2 linked regions of the Struthio camelus genome follow. The protein of the gene in region 2 interacts with the protein of the main gene of each other region in a pairwise test. Links are inferred from orthologs where the notes say so. Each region holds a gene or a part of one and is shown on either strand. Other genes may lie near its edges.

What was found.
Region 1: the proteins of GTPBP3 (region 2) and PARP11 interact in binary tests that used the Homo sapiens proteins (3 or more experiments, as listed by UniProt). The two-hybrid records come from large-scale screens. The link is inferred for Struthio camelus from reciprocal best matches to the Homo sapiens genes GTPBP3 and PARP11.

What each region holds. Positions count from the first base shown.
Region 1 is NC_090942.1:88,017,057-88,027,664, forward strand, and holds the start of PARP11 (protein mono-ADP-ribosyltransferase PARP11), read right to left. Parts: upstream 4,895-10,608; 5' UTR 4,701-4,894; coding exon 4,665-4,700; intron 1,711-4,664; exon of another isoform or gene 1,675-1,710; intron 1,236-1,674; coding exon 1,107-1,235; intron 1,013-1,106; coding exon 892-1,012; intron 1-891. UniProt on the Homo sapiens protein: Mono-ADP-ribosyltransferase that mediates mono-ADP-ribosylation of target proteins. Plays a role in nuclear envelope stability and nuclear remodeling during spermiogenesis. Inhibits the type I interferon activated signaling pathway.
Region 2 is NC_090967.1:6,514,800-6,525,210, forward strand, and holds GTPBP3 (tRNA modification GTPase GTPBP3, mitochondrial), read right to left. Parts: upstream 4,542-10,411; 5' UTR 4,516-4,541; coding exon 4,478-4,515; intron 3,367-4,477; coding exon 3,131-3,366; intron 2,990-3,130; coding exon 2,903-2,989; intron 2,810-2,902; coding exon 2,607-2,809; intron 2,491-2,606; coding exon 2,418-2,490; intron 2,334-2,417; coding exon 2,190-2,333; intron 2,101-2,189; coding exon 1,935-2,100; intron 1,846-1,934; coding exon 1,567-1,845; intron 1,482-1,566; coding exon 1,250-1,481; 3' UTR 1,121-1,249; downstream 1-1,120. Other genes in the region: ANO8 (anoctamin-8), read left to right, coding at 8,681-8,780. UniProt on the Homo sapiens protein: GTPase component of the GTPBP3-MTO1 complex that catalyzes the 5-taurinomethyluridine (taum(5)U) modification at the 34th wobble position (U34) of mitochondrial tRNAs (mt-tRNAs), which plays a role in mt-tRNA decoding and mitochondrial translation.

The DNA.
Region 1 (10,608 bases), on a different chromosome or scaffold from region 2:
GCAAAACTTCCACTCACTTCAATGCAACTAGTATGGCAAAATATATTACTGTATCAGTTATACATACTTATCTACTATTTTTCATGCAAGAAGTCATGACCTATGAGATTTGTAAAAGTTGTTGTTTAGCATTTGTATTTGGTTTTGTTTTTATTACAGATGCAGAACAAAGATTTTTTAATAGACATTTCAACAAAAGTAAACACCAAACTCCTCCTATTGCTCTGTAATTCTTTGCTCCCAGTACATCACCGTTCTACCCACTCCCCTCTCTCTCTCTATTTGAAATGCTATTATTTTCTTTGACCTAGAAGAGGCTTCTGTATAAGATAAAGATAGTTGATGGATGCCATTAGAATCCAATAATATTTTGTAATTTACAAGTATGGCATGAGCAAGCTCTTTATAGTTTTACTAGAAAAGCCTTTTGGGTATCTCCTTGTATTTCAGCAACATAATTGGCTTGAAGTCTCTGCTGAATTACAAAATCACTTTAATGCCAGTGTTTTGCAGAAAGCTTCCATCATATCAACGTTTCTTATAGAGACTCTGAATGGAAGAGAACATTTTTCAAGCCTACAAGCTGTTGTATGTTAAAGAACAAACTTCCTAGACCCACGGATGTATGCTAGATACTACCTACAGCTAAGGTAAGCAGAGGTAAAATGCTGGAGCACTACCACACAAGGCATGCTACCTTATTAGTAAACTACACTAGAAAATTTAACAGTGCAGCTGCCTCCAAAATCTCATGCATACCTTCCAATAAAGACTTTTCCAATTCTGGACTTTTTGCACCAGATATGAGGAAAATAACTTGCTGAATGAACACATCAACTAGTGTATCTGACACCATCTATTATTTAATTTATTCTATGACAAGAGACATACCTGAAAAGTCTAACGTGTAGTTAAATTTTGCAGTAGTAAAAGAAACAGATCCATGAGGGTTTGTTCTGAAGCTCCTTTCAATATCTTCACTGCTAACTGAGCAATGACTGTTTGAATCAGTCTTTAAAACAAACCAAAAAGCACAATTAGGCAAATTCAGAAGTAGTTGGATGTTTGGAAATCATCATAGCTAACATAATTTCATATGTAGTTACCTGAAACATATGCCATTTACCACACTCAGCCAAATAAAACCAGCCCCACTGGGTGTCTGAGGTATCCATCTCTTCAACTGCACTTTCCGTCTTCGGAAAGAATTCTTCTGATGCTCTCTGAAGCATTTCCTGCAATGTTCATACACATGCAAAAAAGTCTTCTGTGATACTATTTGCAAAAGTGCATTATTTGAGAAATTCAGTAAAGAATATAAAAGCAGAATAACATGAATTGTAATACTTAGAAAAAAGAAAGGCAGAGGGGCATATTTGTTTTCTCTTTCTTAAAGAAAGTTTCTCAATTTCCTACTTATCCAGTTTAACAAGTATTACCTGTAAACCTGGTTAAACATTTTCAAAGCTAACGCTCTCTCGAATGTTTATAAACATGTCGCCAGATCAAGAGCTATAGGCTTTGTCAGATGAAAAAGAGGTGCCAAATTCATACTGACAGACATACAAGCAAATCCAGTCATAAATACAATAGGCTCTGAGTTATACATAACTCAGGAATGAGATACTGGGGTGATGTCTGATAGTTGGATGAAAACATCTACTACATACTCACCAGCAGTCAACAAATTAGATGGAATACTAGGAGTTGCTAGAAAAAAAATCAGAGACTAAAACAAGCATCATCATTATGTCACCGTGCAAGTCCACAGTGCATTATTCCTCAACACTGCATGATAGTTTGTTTCCCCTCAAATGAAAAAAAAAATGCTTGAAAACGCCTTGAAAAGGATACAGTAAAATTATGAAAGGCAGAGAGAAGGCTGCCAAAAAAACAAGCAGAATGGCTTACACACAAGGGATGACTACCAAAGCTAGGATTCTTCAGGATGGAAGAAAGAAGTGATGAAAGGATAAAACAGAAGGCTACAAAATCATGGCAAAGTTGAATAGCGAATTACTGATTACATTTTCTTCCAAAGAAGGGGACACCTAACAAAACTTGTGTTAAGTTTAAAATAAATGAAAGGAAATGTCTTCATAAAATAGATCACTGAACTATGGAATTGCTTTCCATGGTATGCTGTGGTTCCTGAAAGTTTATGCAAGTTTAAAAAGTGATGGGACAAGTTCATAGAAAAGGTAACCAATGGCTATATCAGGAAAACTTCACAACAGCCCCCACTAGATTTCAACTTAACAATAAAATCCTGAAAATTCTGAAAGAATTTGACTCCACTTGCATATATCTCCTAACTTGTCAAAACCAGTTAATAAACAGCAGTAAAAATTCTAATGGGGGAAAAAGTTCCAGAGAAACAGGCTTGCCCTACTCCCATAAAGAGTTAGCAATTCATCCAGTCTATCTGATTAACCAAGACTGGCACTCTTCTCAACTTTTTCCTCAACTTAACTTTTGCTTCCAGAACATGGACCACCACACTCCAGCACAAGTAAGTCAAAACATTCTCCTGCTAACAACCTGGATGTTTCAGTTGCTTCCTGGACACTTCAACCCAGAAAACTGTAGCAGAGACCTTCAGAAGGCACTCCGGAGATGAAGAAGTAGGAGCCAACTGGTCAGTGCTATTGGGGCAGGAACTGAGAGCAGAAGGCCTCTTCTAACACTAGCTTCCCCCATATTTTTCCCAAGTAAACCTTCAATGGTGTTTTCAAAAATCACAGAAACCTCTTCATGGTAATAGCTAGAAACTATGTCTCAAATAAGACATGATTTCTAATCATCAAAAGCTACTACGAAACTATATGCTTAAAAAACAGGGAAATTAGTGATAGAGCTCCACAACATCTCTAAATTGCAGAACCTCAGGGTACACCTACTTCAGCACAAATGGAAGCACATCCATTCCTTCCAACAGGAAGACCTGATGAAATGGGAGCTCCATACAACACTGAAAGGTTTTGGCAGCTTACTTTCATTATTTAAACCTACAAGGATAGCTGCCTCAATTTCAAGCAGAACAATACTAAAGACCATGTTTTCACCTACAGGCTGAGTTACACTTGTCTACACTTGTTACACAAGTCTACACTTGTTTAAAGCTAAGAGGAAAGTAATTCTGACTTTTCTGAGGTACGGTTTAGTTTCTTATTTTTCCACTGGAATAACCAGACCTCAGCTCCATGCCAACATTAGTTCAGGGCCTTGAATCTGATCACTCAAATTACTAATGGCTTTGGAACAGTTACAAACAGAGGAGTTATGTTCATCTGCACCTATCAATATACTTGTACTCCTCTGGGAGCAACACAGCCCCCGGGGGGAAAAAAAAATCACTTATCAATGACACAGTTATTCCCGTAATTTCCAAAAATGTTACTTCCAGTCCACACATTATCCCAGTCACAGAGTCCTGCATAGATTCATGGATACTTCTAAGTATGGTAGAAGGACCCAAGCCATAATCACTAAAAAGAAAACAGGAGAGCTGCTCTGAAAGGTGATCCAAATCCCACATGCTTTAAAAAAAAAAAAAATAGGCTCAATTTACTGATGAATTTAAAATCAAGACCACTCTATTTATAAAGAATAGGTAGGTTTTTGTCCAAAATCTCTGAATGCATATACAGCAAGCAGGAACTCTTAGCAGGTTTTTCTAGATGACCAGAACATCAACATCAAAGATACAGCAAAGAAAATTTCATTAGCAATAATGCTGCTAACAGAGGAGCTTTCAACTCCCATTACTAGAACTTCTACTACTGGTCCAGGAGCTATCAGGAACCGAATAAAAGTAACAACTATTACTCTGACAGCAGAAAATTTCTCCTAATGAGAATGAATGCTTGTTGTGTCATGAAAGTACTGTCATTGAATGGCTGTAATACTAACACAGCTGCTCATTTCTCAAGGAGTCTTAAGTTTGAATGATAAATATGCTTTATAGTGCCTCCAGATGAGCTATTCAGTTTTCTTGTGCTGTCTACATCCATTTGTTGGACTGTTCTGTAGTGCTGGAGATTCTTTTGCCAGCAATCAGCAACTCTGCATAGTTCCCAGCTGAGTCCACTAGTAGCCCTAATAGAGACTCCAGCCCTTCCTTAGGTAGCAAAGTATCTGAAAAAGGAGACTTTCCCGAGCTCCCGAGCTCCCGAGCTGAGAGCACAGTGCTGGGAAGGGGTGGCAGAGAAGAACGAACAGCATTAGCACAGGTGCAGACCACGACCTGAGGAGCCAGCTCATACAGGGACGATGCCCTCTGCAGCTGTATTGTCACTGCTGCAGAGGACTGCCCGCTCGCTGCTGCTGTCGCTCCTTTTCCTACCCCCCTCCCAGCTGAGTCCGTAAAGAGCTCAAGGATGGGGGGGGGGGGGGAGAGACAGCTAAACGTAACAATAGTCCCTCCCCTATATGGCTCCTAGCCCTCCCCCAAAGAGAGCTGTGGCGGCCTGTGCCCCCCATCCCCAACCTGGCAACACGGTCTCTGAGCGCGCGCTCGCTCGCTTGCAGGGGGTGGGGCACAGCGGGACGAGCCGAGGGCGGCCTGCGGCCTGGAGCGCGCCTACTGAGGCGGAGGCGGGAGGAGGGAGAACGAGACAAAAGGAGTGGCCGTTTCCCCCGTCCCCCTCCCCGCGCGCACTCACCGCATCGGCCGCCCACCCCGGGCTCGCTCCCCACATGTTGACCGGAGGGTGGGGAAGGAGTGGCGGGAAGGGGGGGGGGGAGGGGAAGGGGGGGGGGGGGGGAAAGCAGGCCGAGCCCGGCCGCTCCGGGCACGTCACTGCTCAGGCTCCGGAGCGCTTCCGTTATCGGTGGCAAAAGAAAAGGGAGGAACAACGACTGTTATAGGTAGGGCTAAATCTGTTCGTCACACAGGGGGGCGAGGCCTGGTATGCAAATTTAGGCGAGGGAGGCGGGGGCTTGGGAGGCAGTGGAGGAACCAGGCTTGGGGCGGGGGCGGGGGCGGGGGCGGTTGTGGTTGTGGTTGTGGTTGTGTTGGGTACCCGCCCGCCCGCCCGCGCTGTGGGCGGGGCGGAAGGAGACTACGCAGTATGGAGCCGTGTGCTGCTTGCCTGCATGCCTGGCGCTGTGGGCATCTCATGGCCTCGCAGGTGGTGGTGTTGCCGTGACGCTCGCTCGTCAGCCCTGCGGCCTCTGGCAGTCTTGTCAATGTGTTGTCGCATGGGTAGCAGTTTTGGCTGTGAGATGCTTGAGTTCAGTGTGCCTCACTTCTCTCAACTCTGCAGCTTTGTTTTTTATTTCCTTTAATTATTGGCTGTCATCATGGAAAGCAATGGGCCTAGTCTCCCAAAGAGCTTTCACAGCCCATATGGGGCCACATGAGCCTGTATATATGCTTAATTCTGCACACATAGCATTTAAAGAACCTGTACTGCGCTAGCTCCTTGTAGGGCGGTGGAAGTGACAACTCTTAAGTGATTACCTAATGCAGAGAGGAAGTAAAAACTGCAGCCTGTTGCAGGCATTCATCAACTGCACTTTCAGAGCTTGAAAAACAGAACACCTAGTGGCATTTTTACATTGTAATTGAGATCTAGAAACAAAAGCAGCTGTAGCACTTCTTACTGAGGAGGGCCATAGTTGTGAACGTACCTCCTCCCAGCCTTTCCATGCAGAGAGTCTAGAATGAGAGCTGCAGAGCAGAAAAACAGGCAGTTAACCAGCTCCAAGAAGCTTACTAATTCACACTGCCATTGGTCAGTGGGCAATAAATTCTAAGCTGGAAACTTCACAGAACAGGCAGTCATCATGCAGTCATGTGAAGCCATTAAAGTACATCCTGCTCTGAAGGTGGTTCATTGGGCAGCATTCCAGAAATAACGGAGGTGGATTGAAAATGATGAATTTCTCATATTCTGAGGGAGTGTCAAACAGGATGCGTATCCAGATTCTGGCTTTGCTGACCTTGTCTTTCAATATGTAGTTGAAGAGGCTATTTTTTCTGGTGTTAAGTAACCTCTGGTGAATCACTGAGGGCAGTTCACTGGCATACATGTGATGCCCATGTCCTCAGAAACAGAGGAGTTTACCAGAAGCAGGGATATCTTTTCCTGAACAGGATATTGGTATGGTTGAAAAACGCATAATGACCATGGGGACCAATCCTATCTGTGCGGTCCTAATTTATGAATCTGTACAAAGGATAAGGGTGGTGTTACCACCTTAGCTGTTGCAGCAAGCCTGCTGAATGCCCTTTTTTCACTTGGAAAAATGATGGTTTATAACCAGCCTTGTGTCTAACCTGAGCTTCTGTGAGTCATTTGCTCCTATTATTACTGCTGCCTGTTGTGTATTTTTGAAGTGCATGTGGGAACCTTCCAACAGGGTGACAACTGGAAGTGTTGAGGTTGTTTGTGGAATTTGCCTAAGTAAATATGAAGATAGTTACTGTAGCCCAACATGGAACTGTCTAGCAGCCCAAAGTTTTAAAGAGGTTTCTTCTGTTATGCCTTGAACTGTGGAACAGAGCTGGGAATTTTTTGTGTCTGTTTCTTCCCTTTCATTGTAGGATAATTAATAATGGAGCATAAGCCTCTTACAAGATGAGAACATCTTAGTTACATTCAAAATAAAGCTTTTTAGAATGACTGTATTCTTATCAAGCTTCATGCCAATGCCAGACTCTTCATAGCAACAACAATTTAAAAATCTTTGAAAGCAGTTCTTTCCAAAGAATTATGTGGATATCTTACATACTATGTGAAACTAACAGTAGTCCTGGTGAAGACATAATTGCAGTAATTGGCTCCTATGAGCCTGCACTAAAAGCAGCAAAAAGGCAGAAACTGGAGAGGTTTGGCCACATGGCTTGAGTTACAAATACAGTTTTTCAGGGAACCACAGAATCACAGAATGGTTTAGGTTGGAAGGGACCTCTGGAGATCATCTAGTCCAACTTCCCTGCTCAAGCAGGGGCCTCTACAGCATGTTGCCCAGGATCACATCCAGATGGGTTTTGAGTATCTCCAGCGAAGGAGACTCCACTACCTCTCTGGGCAACCTGTCCCAATGCTCTGTCACCCTCACAGTCAAGAAGTTTTTCCTCATGTTCACATGGAACTTCCTGTGGTTCAGTTTCTGCCCGTTGCCTCTTGTCCTGTCGCTGGGCACCACGGAGAAGAGTCTGGCCCCATCCTGTTGACACCCCCCCTTCGCATACTTGTACACATTGATGAGATCCCCTCTCAGTCTTCTCTTCTCCAGGCTGAACAGGCCCAGCTCCCTCAGCCTTTCCTCATATGAGAGATGCTCCAGTTCCCTCATCATCTTTGTAGCCCTCCGCTGGACTCTCTCCAGGAGTGCCATGTCTCTCTTGTCCTGGGGAGCCCAGAACTGGACACAGCACTCCAGGTGAGGCCTCCCCAGGGCTGAGGAGAGGGGCAGGATCACCTCCCTCCACCTGCTGGCAACACTCTGCCTAATGCACCCCAGGATACCACTGGCCTTCTTGGCCACAAGAGCGCATTGTTGGCTCACAGAATCACAGAATCGTTTAGGTTGGAAGGGACCTCTGGAGATCATCTCGTCCAACCTCCCTGCTCAAGCAGGGTCACCTAGAGCATATTGCCCAGGATCACATCCAGACGGGTTTTGAATATCTCCAGCGAAGGAGACTCCACTACCTCTCTGGGCAACCTGTTCCTGTGCTCACTCACCCTCACAGTCAAGAAGTTTTTTCTCAGGTTCAGATGGAACTTCCTGTGGTTCAGTTTATGCCCATTGCCTCTTGTCCTGTTGCTGGGCACCACGGAGAAGAGACTGGCCTCATTCTCTTGACACTCCCCCTTCAGATACTTAAACACCTTGATGAGATCGCCTCTCAATCTTCTCTTCTCCAGGCTGAACAGGCCCAGCTCTTGCAGTCTTTCTTCCTAGGAGAGGTGCTCCAGCCCTCTAATCATCTTGGTAGCCCTCCACTGGACTCTCTCACGGTCAGCTTGTTCTCCACCAGCGTCCCCAGGTCCTTCTCTGCAGAGCTGCTTTCCAGCAGGTCAATCCCCAGCCTGTACTGGTGCCTGGGATTCTTCCTCCCTAGGTGCAGGACCCTGCACTTGCCTTTGTTGAACTTCAGGAGGTTCCTCTCCGCCCAGCTCTCCAGCCTGTCCAGCTCCCTCTCAATGGCAGCACAGCCTTCTCGTGTGTCAGCCACTCCCCCCAGTTTAGGCATCAGCATCAGCCAACTTGCTGAGGGTGCACTCTGTCCCTTCCTCCAGGTCATTGATGACTACATCAATGGACAGTCCTGGACCCAGGACTGACCCCTGCGGGACACCACTAGCTACACGCCTCCAACTAGACTCCGCACCACTGACCACAACCCTCGGAGCTCTGCCATCCAGCCAGTTCTCGATCCACCGCACCGTCCACTCATCTAGCCCACACTTCCTGAGCTTACCTAGGAGGATGTGGTGGGAGACAGTGTCCGAAGCCTTGCTCAAGTCCAGGGAGACAACATCCACTGCTCTGCCCTCATCTACCCAGCCGGTCATTCCATCTGAGAAGGCTAGCAGATTGGTCAAGCATGATTTCCCTTTGGTGAAGCCGTGCTGACTACTCCTGATCACCTTCTTGTCCTCCAGATGCTTAGTGATGACCTCCAGGAGGAGCTGTTCCATCACCTTTCCAGGGATGGAGGTGAGGCTGACAGGCCTGTAGTTTCCTGACTCCTCCTTCTTTCCCTTTTGGAAGACTGCGGTGACATTGGGTGACAATGGTCGAATGGAAGTGAAGGAGAGATTCCCTGGTACTGCCTGGCACATAAATCATAGAATCAAGAAGGACTTAGGTTTGAAAGAATTTGTGAAAGTCTCTAATCCAATCTCCTGATCAAAGCAGGCCTAACTTCAAAGCTAGATCAGGTTGCTTAGTTCCTTTTTCCAGCCAAATTATAAAAATCTCCAAAGGTGGAAATTTTACAGTGTCTCCAGGTATATGTTCCCACTCTTAGGGGCAAGAATTTTTTCCTTATGTCCAATCTGAATTTCCTGTATTGCAACTTGTGTACATTGCCTCTTGTCCTTTTACTGCGACCCTGTGAGAAGAGCTCCCTCAGCATTTCTTCATATGTCTTTACCTGGACAGGGAAATAACAGGTACAGCTTCTCCAAGCTGCTAAATAAAGATCACCTGGAAGATCTACCTGAAGTAGAGAGAAATTACAATCAGTGCCCAAATATAATGCCCTTTTAATTGGGTCAGTTGGGGGATTATAGGATTGTAGGAGAATTCAGGTTGGAATGGACCTCCAGAGGTCATCTAGTCCAACCTCCTTCTCAAAGTAGGGTCAACTATGAGGTCAGATCAAGTTATTCAGGGCTTTATTCAGTTGGTTCTTGAAAACCTACAAGGACGGAGACTGCACAACCTCTCAGGGCAACCTGTTCCAATGCTTAACTGCCCTCATGGTGAACAAGCTTTTCTCTATATCCATTTGGAATCTCTCATTTCAACTGAAGACTATTCTCTCCTGTCCTCCCATCTCCCTCTGTGAAGAGCTTGACCCTGTCTTCTTGATCACCTACCTAGGTATTGGAAGGTTGCTATTAGGCACCCCAGAACCTTCTCTTCTCTAGGCTGAAGAAGCCCTGTTCTCTTAGCTTCTCCTCACAGGGCAAGTGCTCCAGGCCATCTTGGTGGCTCTCTGATGAACTTGTTTCAGTTGATTAATGTCCTTCTTGTACTGATAGGCCCACAACTGGATGCAGTATTCTAGACAGGATCTCACAAATGCTAATAATCCTTTCCCTTGATCTACTGGCTATGGTCTTGTTAATACAGCACAGGATGCTGTCAACCTTCTTTGCTGCCACGGAACACTGCTGGCTCATATTCATCTTTCTGTCTACCGAGACCCCAGGTCTTTTTCAGGAGAGCTGCTCACCAGCTTGTGAGTCCCCAGCCTGTTCTGTTGCCAGGGGTTATTCCTTCCCAGGTGCAGGACATCATTGTTTTTATTCTTGTTCAAGTTCATAAGGTCCCTGTCAGCCCATTCCTCCAACTTGTCTTTGTCCCTCTGGATAGCAGCTCTGCCCTTAAGTGTATCAGCTAGGATAAGATAAGGCAGAAAACTGCTATAATACGTTCTCTGAGAGGGAAGTATATGATTCTTTGGTATCTGCTATTTCATGATAAATTAATTTTCAGTAAACATTAAAATTTTGAATTCATTCAATTGAGACATAATATAAATGATAATGAAATTTTGTTGGGCTGGTGTAGATGGGAACATCTCATTCCTTTGATGCTTTTTTTGGTGAGACTGACTGAAAGCCATGGTCCCCAGCAGTATATATTTTGCCCCTTAATCCATGGAGAGCACAGCTTACAGCCAGGAGACTTCTTTTTCTCCCTTTACTTTTCTCCTATATTCCCAGATGTCCTTTTTTTCCCCCTGCCAGCCTTCTCACACTCACTTATGCCCAATACTTTGCCATAACTTGGTTGCTTAAAATTGTTGGATGCCTTTCTGTCTCCTTTCATGTGTAGACTGAGGTCCTGTGCCTCAGCCTCTCTTCTTTTTGGAGGGAAGTGGGTCCAGGAAGTCCTCTAGTCTGCAGCTGACATTGA
Region 2 (10,411 bases):
GCCGCGGCGGGCAGCCCCCGCGCAGGAAACGCCGGACGACCCTGCAGGAAGAGATAGGCTGAGCCGCAACCCGACCCAGCCGGGAGGGAGGGGGGCCCTTCCCAGAAGGGGCTGGCCGGGACCCCCCCGGCCGCCAGCACCGAGCCCCCCGCGGCCGAGCCGCCGCACCCTGGCCCCGGCTTTCCCGCGCCGGAAGCGCGTGGGACGGCGCGCGGGAAACCCCTGGCCGCCGAGCATCCCCGGCCCTCCGCCGCGGCCCCCCCACCTCGGCACGGAGCAGGGAACCTCAGCCACGGCGGGGACCTGCCTCCGAGCCCCCCGGAGCCCCCCGGTCCCGGGGAAGCCGAGCATCCGGAGCAGCCGAGCATCCGGAGCGATCCCCACCGGCTCAGCCCCGAATACAGCCGGGGGGGAAGCGGGGGGGGGGGGGGGACGGCCCTTGGCACGCAGGGACGGGGACGAAGCAGCGCGTGCAGGACGCGGCGAGCGCAGTGATTAATGGCCGGCTGCCACCCGTTGATTTATTGCCGCGCTTCCCTCTCCTTCCTGTTTAAACAGCCTTTCCTGACGCCCCGCGCGCCGGGCTGCACACCCCGGCCCGCCACGGGCCGCCCGCCGCAGCCACCGCCGGCGGCACCCCACGCCGCGGCCCCGGCCCGGGGGGGGGGACGGCACCGGGGGCGGCGGAGGGGCTCGGGCTGCCCCGGCTCGGGCACGGCAGGGACGCGCTCGGCGTTAAGAGGATTTCCTGGCACTCCACTATAAATAATCGCGGAGCAAGGGGAGCTTCCGCTGCTGGAGCCTGGGAGCCCCGGGCGGCGGCAGCGGAGCCGGGACGGGTCCCCGGGGAGCCCCCGGCCTTCGGAGCCCGGCCGCGGCCGCCGAGCGGCACCGGGGCAGCAGCCGGGCGGCCGCCGCGACGGGCTGGGGGTGCGGGGCCGGGACCCCCCGCTGCAGCACCCAACCGCCGCAGCCCCCCGGCTGGGTTTTTTCCCCCCTTCCAGACACTGCAGCTCCGTGTTTATGCTCCCGGCCAGGAAACGCGGCCGCTCCCAGGAGCGGGTGGTTTTTTCCAAGGCCGGGGCTCAGGAAACGTCCCCCCGCGGCCGGGGAACGCGCCGCGTGCCGGCCGGCCCCGGGGAGGACGGGGAAGGACGCGGGAGCAGCCGAAAGCACCGCCGTTTTAATAAAAGCGCGGCGCAAAGAGCCCCGGGAGCCCGCGCCGGGCGTGCACGCGGCCGCCCCCCCGTCACTTGCCCACGCAGAAGTCCCTGAAGATGATGTCCAGGACGTCCTCGGCGCCCACGTGCCCCGTGATCCTGCCCAGGTGCCGCCGCGCCAGCCGCAGCTCCTCGGCGGCCAGCGCCAGGTCGGTGCCGCCCGCCCGGCCGTAGCGGGCCAGGGCGGCCCGGCAGGCGCGCAGGTGGTGGCCGTGGCGGCTCTGCGTGAGGCTGGGCGAGCCGGCCAGCGGGTCCCCGCACCTGGGCGGCGAGAGGAGCCTGCAGCAGCGCCCGCGCCGAGCCCCCCGCCGCCCCGAGCCCCCCGCCGCGCCGCCCCGGCACTCACAGCCGCTCCAGCTGCCGCCGCAGCAGCTCCAGCAGCCCGGCGAGACCCTCGCCCGTCTTGCAGGAGAGCAGGGCGGCGGGGGGCAGCCCCCCGCGGGCGCAGGCGGCCCCCAGGGCCCCCGCGCCGCCCGGCGCCACGTCCACCTTGTTCAGCACCAGCACGCAGGGCTTGGCGGCGCCGGGGGGCAGCACGGCCCCCAGGGCTTCGCCGAGCTGCGTCGGCTCCGCCGGCACCGCGCCGGCGTCCAGCACCGCCAGCACCAGGTCGGCGTGCCGCAACCTGCGAAGAGCCCGCGGGAAGGATGCGGCCCTCGGGGGGAGGGGGGGGGGCCGCGGCGCCAGCCCCCGCCTCCCGCCCCGTCCCCGCACCTCTCGCGCGCCCGGCTCACGCCCTCCCGCTCGACGGGGTCGGCGGCGTCGCGCAGCCCGGCCGTGTCGCTCAGCACCACGGGGTATCCGCCGACGTTCAGCGGCAGCTCCACCACGTCCCGCGTGGTCCCCGCCGCGGGCGACACGATGGCTGCCGGCCGCCGGGCTGCGCGGGGAGGGCGGCGCGGCTCAGGGGAGGCCGGCGGGGCCGGGAGGCTCCGTCGGCTCCGCGTCCCCCCCCCCCCGCCAGCTCACCCAGCAGGTTGAGGAGGCTGCTCTTGCCCGCGTTGGGGGGGCCGGCGATGACCACGCGGACGCCGCCGCGCAGCAGCTCCCCGCGCCGCCCGTCCCGCAGGTGGGCGCCCACCTCCTCCTCCAGCGCCCGCACGGCCGCGGCCACTGCGGGGGCGAGAGCGGCAGCGTCGGGGTTGGGGGCGGCCGGGGCGGGCCGGCCCCGGCCCCCAGCCCCCTCCCGGCCCTCACCTCGCGACAGCACCTCTTCCTCCACGTTGTCATCCTCGCTGAAGTCGATGTAGGCTTCGAGGTGGGCCAGCGCCTGGGGGGCACGAGGAGGGCTGAGCGGGGCAGGAGGGGGACGCTCCCGCCGCGCTCGGGCCGGCGGAGGAGCCCAGGCGTCCGGCCGGCCCCAACCCGCCTCCCCGCGGCTCTTGCCTGGGTGAGGGTCTCGCTCCAGCGCTGGTAGAGCTGCCCCAGCTCGCCCTCCATCTGCCGCAGCGCCTGCCGCCGCTGGGCCTCCGTCTCCGCCTGGATGAGGTCCCCCAGCCCCTCCACCGCCGTCAGGTCCAGCTTGCCGTTGTGGAAGGCTCTCCGGGCAAACTCGCCCGGCTCGGCGGGCCGCAGGCCGGGCAGGCGCCCTGCGAGCCGCGCCGGGGCCGCGTGAGCCGCCGCTGCGGCTCCATCCAGCCCAGAGCCCGGTGCGTCATCCCCGCGGGCGCGCGGAGCCTTACCCAGCGCCTGCAGCACGCCGCTCACCACGGCCGGCCCGCCGTGCACGTGCAGCTCGCAGCAGTCCTCCCCCGTGAAGCTCTGGGGCCCTGCAAAGCACGGAGGCGCTCGGGACACCGAGCGGTGAGACCCGCCGCGGCCGTGCAACCTGCGGCGGCGGTGCAAAGGAGCCAGCCGCCGTGCCGGGCGCCGAGACCCGCCGCGGGCTGGCGCCCAGCCCCGGCTCTCACCTGGGAACCAGACGACGAGGCCGCGGTCCAAGGGCTCGGCGGTGGCGGGGTCGCGGATGCGCCGCAGGGCCAGGACGCGGGGCGGCGGCAGCGCGGGGCGCCCGGTGAGGCTCTGCAGGGCCGCCCGGCAGCCCGGCCCGCTGGCCCGGATCACCGCCACGCCGCACTTGCCGTGGCCCGAGGACACGGCGAAGACGGTGTCGCCCCGCGCCGCGGAGCAGAGGCGCCGCGCGCTCCTGCAAAGGGACAGGGAGCCAGAGTGCGGGGCCGGGGGGGGGGCTTCCCTCCCCACACACGGCCCAAACAGGGGGGTCAGGGGGTGCAGGGATGCACCCCCCCCATGCACCCTCTCCCAGTGCACCCCACATACCCAGGGGTGTGCACCCCTTCCTATGCAGCCCCAGACCCAGGCGTGCACCCAGCACACCCCCGCGAGACCTGGGGGGCAGGGAGGGTGCAGGGGAGCACCCCCTTCCCCAGCTGCCCCCCTTCCCTGTGCACAACCCCATGCCAGGCTGCACCCCCTGCTCCCCACACACCCCCATTCCAGGATGCAGCCCTCCTCCCTGTGCACCCCCTTCCCGTTGCATCCCCACCTCGGGGTGCATCCCCTCCCCTTGCACCCCCACTCCAAAGCACCCCCCAACCCCAGGTGCATCTCCTCCTCTTGCAACCCCCCCTTCAGGGTACATACGCCACCTCAGGGCATCCCCTCCCCATGCACCCCCAACTCCAGGGTAGCCCTCACCCCAGGTGCATCCCCTCCCCTTGCAAGCCCCCCTCCAGGATGCATCCACCCCGGGGTGCCCCACGTGCATCCCCTCCCCTTGCAAGCCCCCCTCCAGGATGCACCCACCTCGGGGTGCCCCACGTGCATCCCCTCCCCTTGCAAGCCCCCCTCCAGGATGCACCCACCTCGGGGTGCCCCACGTGCATCCCCTCCCCTTGCAGCCCCCCTCCAGGATGCACCCACCCCAGGGTGCCCCACGTGCATCCCCTCGCCTTGCAGCCCCCCTCCAGGATGCATCCACCCCGGGGTGCCCCACGTGCATCCCCTCCCCTTGCAAGCCCCCCTCCAGGATGCACCCACCCCGGGGTGCCCCACGTGCATCCCCTCGCCTTGCAAGCCCCCCTCCAGGATGCACCCACCCCAGGGTGCCCCACGTGCATCCCCTCGCCTTGCAAGCCCCCCCAAGGTGCACCGCCACCCCACAGTGCCCCAGTTGCACCCTCTCCCCATGCACCGCCCCGCATACCCCCACCCCAGGGTGCCCCAGGCGCATCACCCTCCTTGCAAGCCCGCCCCCCGCTATTTCCCCTCCCCATGCACCCCCCGGTGTCCCCCACCTGCCGCCCGCCGCGCTCAGCGCCCACCGCAGCGCCATGAACCTCCGGCGCACGCCTTCCCCCAGCGGCGGCCTCAGGGCGGGCAGCCCCCCCCTCCCCCCGATTGGCCAAGGCGGCAGAGGGAGGCGGGCTTTAGCCCCAAACCCCCCTCTCTGATTGGTCAGCCAGCACGGCCGACGCCGCGCCGCCTGAGGCTGCGCAGGAGCGAATCGCTTCCGCCCGGCGGCGGGAGCGGCGCTGCCCGGCGCGTCCCCGTGTCGCCGGCGGGGCGGGGGCGGCCGGTCCCCGCGCTGTCCCCTGCGCCCTGCCCGGCCCCGCCGCCCTCTGCAAGGCTCCGCACGGCTTTGCCGGCTGCATTTGCCCCCCCACCCCACCCCTTCTCCCCCCGGCGGCTCTCAGCAGCGGTTCCCCGGGTGCCGGAGCTATTTTGGTGGCAGGGGCTGGGACATGTGGCCTCGCTGTCACCTCCCCGGGAACAGGACACCCGCGGCCCCCAGCGGGCAGCCGAGGCCCAGCTGGGCTGTGGGAGCCTGGCAGGGCCTTTTCTGCACCCTAAAAATAACCCCCAGCCCCATGTGTCCCCGAATCTGGGTCTGGGCAGGGGGCAGGTGGCCGGGGCAGGGGGGACAGCACCCGCGGCCACCGTGGGAACCCCCCCTGCCTCCCCTCCCCGGCCTCCAGCCCCTTTGCACCCGCTGACCCGCACTAATCCTGCAGCGGCTGCTTGTGTCCTGTGCCCCAGCCGAAGCTCTTGGGATTTTTGGATGCCCCCTGCCCCGGTCTACCTCGGCCGTGCCGGGGGTCCCGGCGCTGGGGACCGTCTGGCCCCGGACCCCGCCGAGCCGCAGATGCTCCGTCCCCGGGAAGCCCAGAGCGTCGGCTGAGGCCGGCAGCCAGCGCGGCCGAGCGGGAATCGCAGCCTCCCGGCGCCGCGCCGCTCCGTGAACCATAGAAATTTTCCCTGAGCAGGCGCTGGGCACTGGGACGCTGCTGGGGACACTGGGACGCTGCTGGGGACACTGGGATGCTCCCGGGGACATGGGACCCCTCCCCAGCTCCCAGCAGCTTTGTGCAGACGGGCGGTGCCGGGGGGGCCGCGCGCGGCCTGCGGGGCCTGGCGAGGACGCGGGGACGCTGCGGCGGGGGGGACGCCCGGGCAGACAAAGGCACTGGCAGCGGGAGGAGCGAGCGGCGGCGCGTGCAGGGATGCTGGGAACACCGTCCGCTCCGGCTCCGGCTCCGGCTCCGGCTCCGGCTCAGGCCCTTGCCGTGGAGCAACCCCCCCAGCCACCCTCTGGCCCCCGCCCAGGGAGCCCCCCGCACGCAGATGGCCAGAAATGGGGAAGGCAAAACAAAGGGAGGTGCCGCAGCGGAGCCCTCCATGCCCCCCCGCCTGCACACAGCCTGGCGCGCACACCCGCACGCACAGCCCTGTGTGTGTGTGTGCACAGCCCTTTGTGCACCCTCGCGTGCACCACCGCCTGCACACCCCCCCCCCCGCCTGCACACAGCCTGGCGCGCACACCCACACGCACAGCCCTGTGTGTGTGTGTGCACAGCCCTTTGTGCACCCTCGCGTGCACCACCGCCTGCACACCCCCCCCCGCCTGCACACAGCCTGGCGCGCACACCCGCACGCACAGCCCTGTGTGTGTGTGCACAGCCCTTTGTGCACCCCAGGGTACCCCCTCACCTGCACCCCCCCCCCCTGCATGCACACCCCCTGCACATGCCCCTGGGACAGATGCCAAGTAACCAAGCCAGTCCAGACCCCCCCCCCAAGGTGTCCCCAAATTTTTCCCAGCTGGGCGCGTGGGTCCGGCCCACGCGGAGTCTCGGGAAGGTCCGGGGCAGCCCGAGCGCAGCCCCCGCAGCGCTGGCCATGGGGCGGGGGGGATTGGGGCTCCGGGGCCCCGACGCGGGGGCCTGGCCCCCGGCCCGGGCTGCTGCAGCAGGCGCAGCCCCGGCGCCAAGAGGGCCCCGGACGTGCCAGGCTCCGGCGGCCGGTGGCAAACGCGCCGCGGGCTCCAAGCGCGGATGCCGGAGGAGAGGCCGGTTCCTTGTGGCATCGTTCGTCACGGCCGTCAGAGCTGGCACCCGGCGCCTTGCCCTAAAATAGCTGCGGGCAGGCAGCCGGCCTGGGGGGACTGAGCAGGACGCGGCGCGGGGGCTCCCGCACGCCCCGCCGCCTGCGCCGCCGTGGGGCTCGCGGGACGCCCGCGGCCGGGATCCGGCGTCCCGCAGACCCCGCGAGGGGCTGCGCCGGGTCCCCTGCCGTGTCCCCACGGGGCACCGGGGACCAGGCCACGGGGTGGGGGGCAGAGGAGGGCTCCCGAAAGGTCAGCGGGACACTGTGTAGCCCAGGTCAGGTTACCTGCGTGCCTTCCCGCCCGGCCGGGGCGCTCGAAATAACACCGTGACCCGTGGGGCTGGGCCGGGCGGGGGGCTGGCGCGTCAGGGTGGTGGGGGGACCGGCCGGGCAGGGGATGTGGGGACACCTCGGAGGGGGGCACAGGGATGTGGGGCAGTGGGGGGACCAGCTGGGCAGAGGATGCGGGGACACCTGGGAGGGGCGGGGGGATGTGGGGCAGTGGGAGGACCAGCCGGGTGTGGGATGCGGGGACACCTCCGAGGGGGCAGGGGACGTGGGGACACCTCGGGGGGGGCAGAGGGAGGTGGGGCAGTGGGAGGACCGGCCGGGCAGGGGATGCGGGGACACCTCGGAGGGGGGCAGGGGACATGGGGACACCTCGGGGGGGGCAGGGGATGTGGGGACACCTCGGAGGGGGGCAGGGGACATGGGGACACCTCGGGGGGGGCAGAGGGATGTGGGGCAGTGGGAGGACCGGCCGGGCAGGGGATGCGGGGACACCTCGGAGGGGGGCAGGGGACGTGGGGACACCTCGGGGGGGGCAGGGGATGTGGGGACACCTCGGAGGGGGGCAGGGGACATGGGGACACCTCGGGGGGGGCAGAGGGATGTGGGGCAGTGGGAGGACCGGCCGGGCAGGGGATGCGGGGACACCTCGGAGGGGGGCAGGGGACGTGGGGACACCTCGGGGGGGGCAGGGGATGTGGGGACACCTCGGAGGGGGGCAGGGGACATGGGGACACCTCGGGGGGGGCAGAGGGATGTGGGGCAGTGGGAGGACCGGCCGGGCAGGGGATGCGGGGACACCTCGGAGGGGGGCAGGGGACGTGGGGACACCTCGGGGGGGGCAGGGGATGTGGGGACACCTCGGAGGGGGGCAGGGGACATGGGGACACCTCGGGGGGGGCAGAGGGAGGTGGGGCAGTGGGAGGACCGGCCGGGCAGGGGATGCGGGGACACCTCGGAGGGGGGCAGGGGACGTGGGGACACCTCGGGGGGGGCAGGGGATGTGGGGACACCTCGGAGGGGGGCAGGGGACATGGGGACACCTCGGGGGGGGCAGAGGGATGTGGGGCAGTGGGAGGACCGGCCGGGCAGGGGATGCGGGGACACCTCGGAGGGGGGCAGGGGACGTGGGGACACCTCGGGGGGGGCAGGGGATGTGGGGACACCTCGGAGGGGGGCAGGGGACATGGGGACACCTCGGGGGGGGCAGAGGGATGTGGGGCAGTGGGAGGACCGGCCGGGCAGGGGATGCGGGGACACCTCGGGGGGGGGCAGGGGACGTGGGGACACCTCGGGGGGGGCAGGGGATGTGGGGACACCTCGGAGGGGGGCAGGGGACATGGGGACACCTCGGGGGGGGCAGAGGGATGTGGGGCAGTGGGAGGACCGGCCGGGCAGGGGATGCGGGGACACCTCGGAGGGGGGCAGGGGACGTGGGGACACCTCGGGGGGGGGGGGACGACGACAAAGGCTGCGGGGCGGGGCGCTGCCACCCGGGATGCTGCGGGTCCTGTCCCCGGGCTGCGGGGGAGGGAGGAGCCGAACGCCTGGGCCCCCCATGGCCAGCTGTTAGGAGGGGGGGGGGTGCGCGTCCCGGACACCTGGGCCCCGCGGCCGGTGCCGCCGGGCGCTGGGGAGCCGGCGACCAACCAGACAATTAAAGGGGCCGGGAGCGCGGCGCTCCGCCGCTTTGTCCCCTCCTCCCGGCCGGCGGCGGCGGCGGCGGCCCCGCGCCCGCAGCCCCCGCGGCCCCATGCGCCGGCGCCCGCCGCGGCCCGCAGCCCCCGCAGCCCCCGCAGCCCCCGCAGCCCCCGCAGCCCCGCACCATGCCCGACCCGCCGGCGGCAGCGCAGGACGCCGAGCGGCCCCGGCGGGCCCCGGCCGCCGAGGAGCGAGCGGAGCCGGCCGCCCCGGCCGGCGTCCTGGGTAGGTGGCACCGGGGGACATCGGGAGGGAGGGGGCAGCGGCCCGGGGATGGGGGCTGGGGAGGAGGCGGGGGGGAGGCTGCAGGCCCGGCGTCCCCCCCCCCCCACGCTGCGGTGCGCGGCTCCGGGCCCCTCCGCTGCCGCCCCTGTCCCGGTCCCGGTCCCGGTCCCGGTCCCGGCCCGGCCCGTCGGTGCGCGCAGGGGCCGCGGGCTGCGGCCGGCGGCAGCGGGGGGGCCGCTCCCTGCGGCTCAATGCGGATGTCGCCGGGGCACGGCCGAGCGGCGGGACAGCTCCTGCGCCGGGTGGGGACCGGCCTCCCCCGGGACAGGGCTGCCACCTCCCCGGGATGGGGACCGTGACTCCCCGGAACAGGGCTGCCATCCCCCTGGGGTGCAGTCTGTGCCCCCCCCCCACAACGGGACAGGGCTGCCACCCCCCCGGGATGGGGACTGTGACCCCCCCCGGGTCAGGGCTGCCATCCCCGCAGGATGGGGACCGTGACCCCCCAGGACAGGGCTGCCATCCCCCTGGGGTGCAGTCTGTGCCCCCCCCCCACAACGGGACAGGGCTGCCACCCCCCCGGGATGGGGACTGTGACCCCCCCCGGGTCAGGGCTGCCATCCCCGCAGGATGGGGACCGTGACCCCCCAGGACAGGGCTGCCATCCCCCTGGGGTGCAGTCTGTGCCCCCCCCCCACAACGGGACAGGGCTGCCACCCCCCCGGGATGGGGACTGTGACCCCCCCCGGGTCAGGGCTGCCATCCCCGCAGGATGGGGACCGTGACCCCCCAGGACAGGGCTGCCATCCCCCTGGGGTGCAGTCTGTGCCCCCCCCCCACAACGGGACAGGGCTGCCACCCCCCCGGGATGGGGACTGTGACCCCCCCCGGGTCAGGGCTGCCATCCCCGCAGGATGGGGACCGTGACCCCCCAGGACAGGGCTGCCATCCCCCCGGGGTGCAGTCTGTGTCCCCTCTAGGCAGGGCTGCCATCCCCCCAGGATGGGGACCGTGACCCCCCAGGACAGGGCTGCCATCCCCCCGGGACGGGGTCCGTGCTCCCACCTGGACAGCTCCAAGCCCCCGGGGTATCCGGTCCGTGCGCCCCCAGGACAGGTCTGTGGTCCCTGTGGATTGGGACTGTGCGTCCCCCCCCTCCCTGGGACCAGTGTGTGTGCCCCCCCCAGGATGGGGTCTGTTCCCCCCAGGACAAGGCCGGGCCCCCCAGTATCGGGTGTGCGTGCCCCGGGACATATCTGCGACCTCCCTGGGACAGGTCCGTGCCCCCTCCGGAGCGGGTCCCTGCGCCCCCAGGAGGGGTCCGCGCCCCCAGGGCAGGTCCATGCCCCCCCCCCCCGCCCTTGCCCCATGCGGGGCTGGGGCCAGGGCAGAGCTGGGCAGTGGGTGCGGGAGGGGGGGTTTGGGTTTGCTCCCTGGGGCCGGGGCAGGAGGTGGCGATGCAGCCCGGCCACCCCGCAGCCGCCCCGGTGACACCCCTGCGGACGTGGCGGGGGGCCGGGCAGCCCCCGGGGGCAGGGCGAGGGGGGTGAGCGGAGGGCCGCGGCTGGGGCCGGGGGGGGGGGGGGGAGGAAAGCCGAGCCGGGGACTCCCGCCAGCAGGAGCGCCAGGAG